2 linked regions of the Oryzias latipes genome follow. The protein of the gene in region 2 purifies or fractionates together with the protein of the main gene of each other region. This does not show direct contact. Links are inferred from orthologs where the notes say so. Each region holds a gene or a part of one and is shown on either strand. Other genes may lie near its edges.

Evidence for each region.
Region 1: the proteins of tyrosine-protein phosphatase non-receptor type 12 (region 2) and pstpip2 purify together in Homo sapiens (affinity purification with mass spectrometry; 4 studies listed by BioGRID and IntAct, counting the BioPlex papers as one, with this or other methods). This does not show direct contact. The link is inferred for Oryzias latipes from reciprocal best matches to the Homo sapiens genes PTPN12 and PSTPIP2.

Annotation. Positions count from the first base shown.
Region 1 is NC_019870.2:8,939,511-8,943,889, reverse strand, and holds the start of pstpip2 (proline-serine-threonine phosphatase-interacting protein 2), read right to left. Parts: upstream 3,042-4,379; 5' UTR 2,937-3,041; coding exon 2,904-2,936; intron 2,373-2,903; coding exon 2,272-2,372; intron 760-2,271; coding exon 685-759; intron 1-684. Other genes in the region: putative UDP-GlcNAc:betaGal beta-1,3-N-acetylglucosaminyltransferase LOC100288842, read right to left, coding at 4,283-4,379. UniProt on the Homo sapiens protein: Binds to F-actin. May be involved in regulation of the actin cytoskeleton.
Region 2 is NC_019881.2:13,835,356-13,839,917, reverse strand, and holds the start of tyrosine-protein phosphatase non-receptor type 12, read right to left. Parts: upstream 3,043-4,562; 5' UTR 2,572-3,042; coding exon 2,470-2,571; intron 1,717-2,469; exon of another isoform or gene 1,648-1,716; intron 1-1,647. UniProt on the Homo sapiens protein: Dephosphorylates a range of proteins, and thereby regulates cellular signaling cascades. Dephosphorylates cellular tyrosine kinases, such as ERBB2 and PTK2B/PYK2, and thereby regulates signaling via ERBB2 and PTK2B/PYK2.

The sequences.
Region 1 (4,379 bases), on a different chromosome or scaffold from region 2:
CTACACAGTTTTTTGTGTAACTGTATTATAAAGAAATAATTATCAACAAATTTAGCATTCTTGAAGTTATGCAAGTGGTCATTTAAAAGTTACTCTCTTTATAAAGTTTTGAAAAGTAGCTACATTTTTCCCACCAAAAGGGTTTCTGAAATTTCACAGAAATTCTGAAGTGAGCAGGAAGAGCCCTTCTATAAGTTATATACAGTGAGTTCATAAGGACAGCTTGAATCTTGCTAATGAGATAGTCTCAGAAATGTATCAAATATGATACGAATGGTTACAGGGTTAAAAAACAATGAATAAGAATAGCTTACTGTATACTAGAGTTTATACTGTGTCTTTTGCACTTGTTTTCAATTTTCCGACTAGAAATAATGCCTCTTTTAATATTTACTCGTAACTTCTATTTATTGATCAACATCTGCAGTATGCATCAAGTATGAGTGTCGACAAGAAAAGCCACCCAGAAAGTTAATACCAATGAGTGTCTCTTCTTCCTCAATTACTCTTCCTTCCTCTAAGAAGTTAAAAACCATCAAGAGAAATAAAACTACACCGGTCACGTGACCACAGAGTGAACAAGACACTCTACTTACGGATGAAGCAATCCAACATTTGGTGTTCTACATTACACGAGAGAACAGAGCAGATCAAAAATGACACAGTTGCACATGGGTCGCTTACTTCATCTCGTTGTGTCCACACACCTTCTTGGACAAACCCAGCAGGTCTTTGGCATACTTCTCTTCAATAGAAGCCCTGAAAGAAAAAGCAGCGCTTAAGAAAGGCTATACCCAAAGAAGATACCGGGACGTTGATTTCCATGCACGTCTTGAAGACAAGCAGCACTTTATCAGCATTTGTTTTTCCACATAATGTTTAGTGCAGAGAAGGTACATTTTAGAGGGAAACGGTTAACAAAAAAGTGCTTTTATTTTTAGAAAAGTACTTTTAGTGAGAGAAATAAACCTGTGGAAAAAAACTACTAGCAGCAAATAACAATAAAACGTATGTAAATGCAGCTACATATGATAAATTATAAACGCTTTTGCCTAATTTTCTGTAATATCTAGAGTTAAGCTTGGGAGCTACTAAAAATATTGACTTAAGCTGAATTTGTACTTGTTCAGATTTAGTATACACAAAGTTCATACAAAAAAAAAAGCTCATCAGTAACAAACAGATCACTTAACCAGGAAATAGTTACTCAGTGTAAATAGTTGCTTTAATGATATTTATACATATATGATCACCAACAAAACTTTAATCAATTTTCTAATTTTTTAAACTTTCTTTTTATTAATGTCTTTACTTCAAGCGTGCTTTGTAATTCTCACTTCTTTCGGTTTGGCACACCACGATGGTTTGCAAAAATGTCCTCCCATGTCGCAAAACACCAAGTTTCACTTTTGTTGTGATATATAATATCCTCCTTTTTATTTCAGAGTTTATGACACAGTTATATACTGACACAATTGCCAGATTTACATGTTGCTACCAATTCATAAACAATAAGCCGACATGCACTCAGGTCTTTGTGTGAAAAGTTAATTATTACAAGAGGAAGAAGAAATGCAAAACTCAAAACGTGACAAACTAAGGTTTTACAGTCCATACTTTGTAAAAAAACAAAAGAAAAAGGCTCAAAGAATTGAAATATAGCATCATCTTTAATAGTTTGATTAGTTGCAAAGCTGTTGGCTTAAATTTAGGGAAGAAATTTCTTTTTACTGATATACATTTTTATATTACATAACCTTTTTTCAAAAAACATTTTTAATATGTGACTTAAAATTTTAAATATATTTTAGTTATGCATTTTATTCACGTTAAAAAGCAATTCCCTGCTGTGAGATTAAAAACTTGATTATTTACTTCTCAAACAACAACTTCACATCTCTTCTTCCTTTTATCATCACTTAAACCCCACTTTTCCTGTGTTAGTCTCACATTAAGTTTAGTTTCATTTTACACAGAGCCTAGAGAGTCTAGCAGGGGTGGCTGTGGTGCAGAGGTGGGGTGGTCAACCTCTCATTGTAACATTGCAGGTTCGGTTACCACATTACCTGCCCAAGACACTGAACCCCACATTGCTCCTGGTGGTTCTTATGCAGCAGAGCCACCACCAGTGTGTGAATGTGCATGGGTGAATGGGACTATGAATATAAAATGCTAAAGGCCTTCTAAGAAGGTAAAAAAAAAGCACAATATAAGTTTACGCCATTTACCATTTATAACAATTTCATGCAAGTATTTTAATGTATTCATTACCTTGCTTTCATGAAGTCCTCGACCTCCTTGCATGTCCTTTTGCCTTCGTTTAGATACTGAATTATGGCATCATAGCCGTTGGTGCAGGTCAGATCTAAGTTCTGTCAGCATCAAAACAAATATGTCAATATTATTTCCATCAATATTTATCAGTAAGACACTACAGGGATGCCTCTTCTCTTTTAAACTGGTTAAACCCGTTTGGAAAGCACATGAGATTATTTGACCCAGGTGAAAATTGGTGTTTTTGAACCGTTAATCTCTATAATTTGGGTCATCTGAGGCTAACAGCCTGTAATCATCCTCAACCATAAAGACTTCCCTCATGAAGTTTTTATGCTTTGCTGCCTATTCAGTTTTTTACCATAGTGGGTTTGGAGTTTGAGTCTTTCGTATATGTCTCAGCTGTGTATTTAAATAAATTAGATGCTTTGAAACTGATCATCAGAAATTTAAAGCATGTCCGTTTCAAAACAAAATTTTAAAATATAAAGAATTTCTTGATAAGGAAATACATGATCATTACTGCTTAATTGAATTTCAGCCTTCTGAAGTGCATTTAATTACCCTGTAATTGTAAAAAAAAAAAAAAATTAGCCAAATTTATCTAGAAAGCTACACAAACTACTCACCCAGAAGAAATCTTTGAAATGAAGATTCTTCATGACTGAAATGTACAAGAGGAGCAACGCCGCAGGCTCCGTGAAGCTCTTTGAGTGCGATTTCCTTCCTAGTTAGTGCCGTGAACGAACCATGAAGTCTGAACTGTACAGTCTATTAACTGGCGCATGCGCAGTAACTTTGACAGGGCTGACTGGAACTCCTCCTGACAGCTCTTCATTGCTGGCAGAGCTGCCATCTAGTGGCTGACTGAGATATTTACTGGACCGGTAGAAGAGAGTGTAATGTATTAGATAAAAGTCAGTGTAGAATAAAATAAATGGTAAATATAAAGAGTGAGATGTAAAGTAAAGCAAATGTGTTAAACTTAACACAGTCATAAAAACTAACTAATAAAAAAGAAATAAAATAAAAGTTTTATTAACACTGATACTGGCAGAAAATTCAGCAATAACTAAGGATAAGGGGAAAGTACCAAATGCTGAAACAGCATTCATTTGCAGTTTTAAAAATCTTGAATCATCTAAAACAGGACAAAATAAAGCCTCCAAAACTAGCAGTTGTACATAATACCTATAATCACAACTTCGTCATTTGAATGCCTTTTTTTAAGAACATATAAAGCTTTGTATTTTCAATGGTAATAAACCACATAAAGTTTCTAAAATCATAAATGGGACCAAAATTAAAAATAAAAGTTTCAGGAGGAGACCTTTTTTTAATCAATCCAAAATTAAGAACCTTCAAGGCTTGAAGTGAGTTCATTTAAGGCTTAATACAAAAATACATAAAGGTTAAAAAAGTCTAGTCTTTAGAAAACTTGATAATGTCTGCATATTGAACTTTTATTGAAATAATTGTTTATAGCTAACCTCTACCTTGTTAATCAACATAGAAAAAAAGGGATTTTGTGATGAAATGATAAAAAAACACCTGTAATGATCTTCAGTTCAAATCTTCAATGTTTACACTGTTTTGACCCAAGATTATTCAATAGTGCATTAGTTTGAGATCTATCGATCTATCGATCTCAAACTTTTGTAAATAATGAATTTGTTCCAGAATCTTTAACAGGGAACAAATTTAAACTTTGTAGACAAAAAAAATATGATTTCTCTGAAACCTAAAGTTTATTTTGTCTAAAAACAAATTACAGGTAAGTTTCCATCAAGGCATGAATGGATATGATCAGAAATCCTGATTTTAATGATGTCTTCAGAAAGACTTTATATTTACACTATCTTATTGGAATAATTTTTTACACAACATAACTTTACACACAGGAGAACAACAAAAAATATAATTACCGATATACACTTCCATCAAATTATACAGTTCCATCAAATTAAAGTCAACTTTGACCCTTTTCACCTTGATTCCATTTCTCTTTTCAATGAGGATTAAGGAGTTTATCTATGTACGTGTGAGCTTTACAGTACACCAGTCCATAATATGTCTTTAAAAGTGAGCATCTTCCACCTTTCTGC
Region 2 (4,562 bases):
GTTTTGCAGAAGCAGCATCCATCCAGATGTAGCAATTTTGCGGGAGCTGTGTCATGGGAGAGACTTACCGATACACAAACTGCTTTTTACACAATTAAAAGTTTCTGAAATAAACCACAACATTTTAAAGTTGGTTTAAAAATGTTTCCATGGAATTAAAACTTGAATTATGTTAACTTCAACCTTAATTTTGTGGGTGAATTCACAGACTAAATTTGTTTTTTGGAGTTTTCTTCTTATCTCTAATACAAAATAGAAGAAATTCACTAAAAGTATAACAATGATCTAAAATTTAACAATTAAAAAAAAAAAAAATCCTGTTTCCTCTGTCCTCACCCTTAGGTATTTTCTATGTAATTTATTTCTTTCCGAACACCACAGAAATAGAAACCTCCCTGCAAAAAGACAACTCCAGCAATTAAATGGGTTATACGGTCGCATATAGGAACAGACTTGACAAGACAATAACTTAACTCCACAGGACACTTCTTAGATTTCAACACTGGATTATAAAAAAACATCTAAAGCAATTCTGCTCCATCAAATTGCTTAAAACGGCTGCTGAACAAAGTGTATAATCTTGACTCTTTGCCCTAACGCAACCTGCAATTATGTCTATATAACACGTTCTATATATAAACAACAATAGGCGGTTAGAGTACAGTTATGTCAGGGCGCTCTGGTGAGGCACTGTTCAGAAAAGCCCACCCTATATACATGAAAACGTTTAGGCTTCACCAATTGGTAAAGAATGGATCCTCACATGCTTCATGTGTTAGCTTCCAAAGCAGTGAAACAGGCAGTAACAATATGGAAGTTGTGAGGCAGCATGAGGATAAGCATGAAATGTGTGTCACAGTAGAAGTTTATTACTGTACATATTTTACAACCAAAATACACTAAAAGTCTCTGCAAGGTGGAAGAACAAAATTAAAAACATAATCAAATTATAGCTCTTTTTTTTTAAAACACTTTCTTCCATAACTTCCTGAATGTCTTGCACAGACAGTTCAGTCTGCTTTGCGCAACACCTATCAGCCCCTTGTTTACAGAATCCTCAAAGCACAGACCAACTAATGAACGCAACAGCAACAAAACAAGACTAAGATAGCATTTTTATATTTTTTAATTTTTTATTTATTTAATTATGGTTCTGTCTTCCTTAAAGCAGTGATTCAAAGTGTGAGATTTGTTGACAAAGCTCCACTTTTAAAGCCAGGACAAAATGTTTTGTAATAGGCCAAGAAAGAATGTTGCAAGCTACAGCAAGCTGCTTGCATGAAGCATGGAAGTAAGGTGTGTGCGTGTGTGTGTGCGTTTCTGCAAGTGTAGACAGAGGGGGCAAAAGTTAGCTGATGCTGATTAACCTCTTTCTTGGAGACAACAAACTCAATATTTAAACAAAACGTAAAAGAGTAACAGCATCTTCTATCTATAGTTGGAACAATGCAATGACGGATATATTGAAATAATTGGTCATAGAAGAGTTTCTCGACTTATTTTAGCCTAAACTTTGCCCTAAAAGGTCCACCTCATGCTAAATGTTATTACAGAAAGTCATTTCACAAGTCAGGGAGTGGAAGAAGCTTCATTTAGATTCCAAAATTTCGACATCCCTCTTTTTTTTCTTTTTTTTCTTTTATATACCAAGAACATTCTTTGAACTACCGATTTGCAGCCATCAAAAAGCTAAACTCCAACCAGCTTTCTAATTTGGTAAACAAACCTTCATTTATAATATTTTCAAGTATGTTAAATAGATATAAGCAAAAAACCAAGCAGGTCAATACATTTTGTAAGTTTACAGAGTCATTTTGTTTTATAATGATCTTTAATGCTGCTTTAAGTATTTCTGATGACATTTTTAAGTTGTAATATTTAGACTTTTCTATTTTTTATAGCAAACTGTGACCCTAAAAAATGCATAGCTGATATGCTAGTAGCAATTTCTTGTCACTGCATTCAATGGTTATAGTTGTGGACCACATCTATAACGTACAAGAGAGGACAATGAAGCACTAGTGCACTGTCTGCCAACAATCAGGCATGATTAACAGCGGAGGAAGCGACTATCTGCTCCAGCCCACAATAAGCCGCCTTAGCGCCACCAAAACACAAGCAAGGGGGCTTTGAACCGACGCGTTGAGCTAATTCCCCCTATTCCAATTCTTAAAGAACAGAAGTCGGCGGTGTGTCTGTGCGTCGGGACACAATGCTAGGCCGCCATATAAAGCCTGGAAATGAGAGGAAAAGGAAGAGGGCAGGCAGTGTGGCCGCCCCTACCTCACCTCCTCCTGGGGGGATGCAGGAACCAAGAAACGGGAAGGGTGATGGTATGGAGGGAGAGTCGGCGAAAAGGGGGAAAAGGTGGAGACTAAGTATAAACATGGGGACGACTTCCAATTAGATTAAAAAAAAACAAAGAGAGGGAGAGAGAAGGATAGGTTAGAGTCCAGCAGATTTACTCACCATAAAGTCACTACCAAAGTTGTCCTCTCCCCTCTCCTTGTCCCCTTCACTCATGGCCTTCACCCCTTGGATAAACTTTCTCAGGATGCCGGCTTGCTCCATCCTTCAATCCTCTTGTAGCGTTTTCAAAAATCCCCAAACTAGCAAGGGGGGTAGATATGTTTTTTTTGTATGTAAAGAGAACAAATGAGGGGGGAAAGGGGGAATAAATAAAAATAAATAAGCTTCACGGGTCTTCCCACGGAGTCATCGTCGGTCAACACATTTTCGTATTATCGCCCCATGTTGTTTCCTCCTTTCCTTCTTTCTTCTTGACTGTTTTTACGACAGCCGTTAGTCCCAAAAATAAAGCCGTCGCCGGCTTTCCTGCTGTCCAAACACCGCCGTGGCGTGATTTAAAAAAGAAAACACTATGTTAAGACATGAAAAAAATATGTATATATATATTGGAGAGAGGGCAAGGGGGGGCAATTGACCGGTGTGGTCATAAAATCTACCCCTCCCTGCCTACCTCGATTGCCACATTCACACAGTGCTGCTCGTTAGTCCGCTACTGGGGAACATCCGGACTGGGCAAAGCCAACAAGATGTAGACCCTCCCCTTTCACGAAAAAGGAGGGATCCGATTGGTCACAAGGTAATTTAGAACTGGAATGTCATTGGTTAAACTGGGTGTAGTCACACCAAATACCCAGCTGTGATTGGACATCCCATGTGTCGGTCATTTTAATTCCCATAGCAGAGTCATCGTGAGAATATCATGGATCAGATGTTCAAACGAAATGGATAGAAAAATAAAAAAACACACAATTTATAGCGATGATCAGTTTTTCAAGAAGTAATAAGTGATGAGGATAATATTGAGGACCAGAGTAAAGAAGAAAAACAGTCAGAATGACGGATCCAAACAATAATCTGGATTAGAGGCTGCCGAAAATGGAAACAGACGATGTTTCACATCAACAAGATCCCTCTCTGATTTAAAAGAAAATACAACAAAAAAACGTTAAAAAAAAAACATTGTTCTAACTTTACTTGAAAAAAACAGCAGGATAATAATAATAATATAATATACTATCAAAGCATTCTGTATTTAAGCACATATTTTCTTTTTACCATTGGGACACTCAAATTTTGATTTAGTCTGTGATAGCCTATGCCTAAAAAAAAGAACTGATCACTTTATGGAAAGAGTCAGAGGACAGGATATGAAAAGATACTCACTCCTGATGAATTCTCCTTTGCCAGTCACACAAATGAAGAAGGAGAATTGACTTGCTTTGTTTCCTCTAGTTCTACCAAAAAGACGAGGGTTGAGTAAAAGAGAAGGACATTGTCCCAGAGCCACGAGCATTTTAAATTACAAAAGCTGCTTGTTTTTGCTCTTGCCTTTAAACCATATTATTTTTTTCCATCTCTAGTCTTTTTCCATGCTTCTTTTTATTTTGCTCTATTCTTATCATGTGTGTAAACTGTCAAAAGTCAATCTATTCAACTGTTTTTGAATGGGTTTGATTTCATTTTTTGTACAAATTAAATCCAAGACAAAAATATATTAGATATGTTAATTTGTATACTGTTAGTATGAAAGCAAACTGATTCACTACAAAAAACTGTTCCCTTTTGAAAGAAAAACACAGTAAATTTGAATTTCAGTTGAAAATCTACCCTTTACTTTTTAGGGGGAAAACGTTGGATCATATTAAAATGATCTCCCATGCGAAACACATGACTTTATCATTTTATGAACTGAGAACCTATTCTGTAAAAGTTGAATCCCCCATTCATCTAACAAAGAACATACTTTGCTTCAGGGTAGAATGGCCCATTAAGTTGTGGCAAATGAGTGTATAAGGCAGACAAAGAAATATGCATACTTTTCCAGAAACGCTTACAATAAGTGTTATTCTATAATTCTAGTAAAATAAAAATATAACATATGTTTTGCACATTTGAATGCATATCATTGAAAGGAGTTGTGGCATGAAACATGTTATTCTTTTTTTTTACAAATCTTTATTTTCTCTTTAAGCTGAGTACTATTCAAGTTATTCATTATTACATATGAAAACAAACAGTTTGCCAAACAGAAA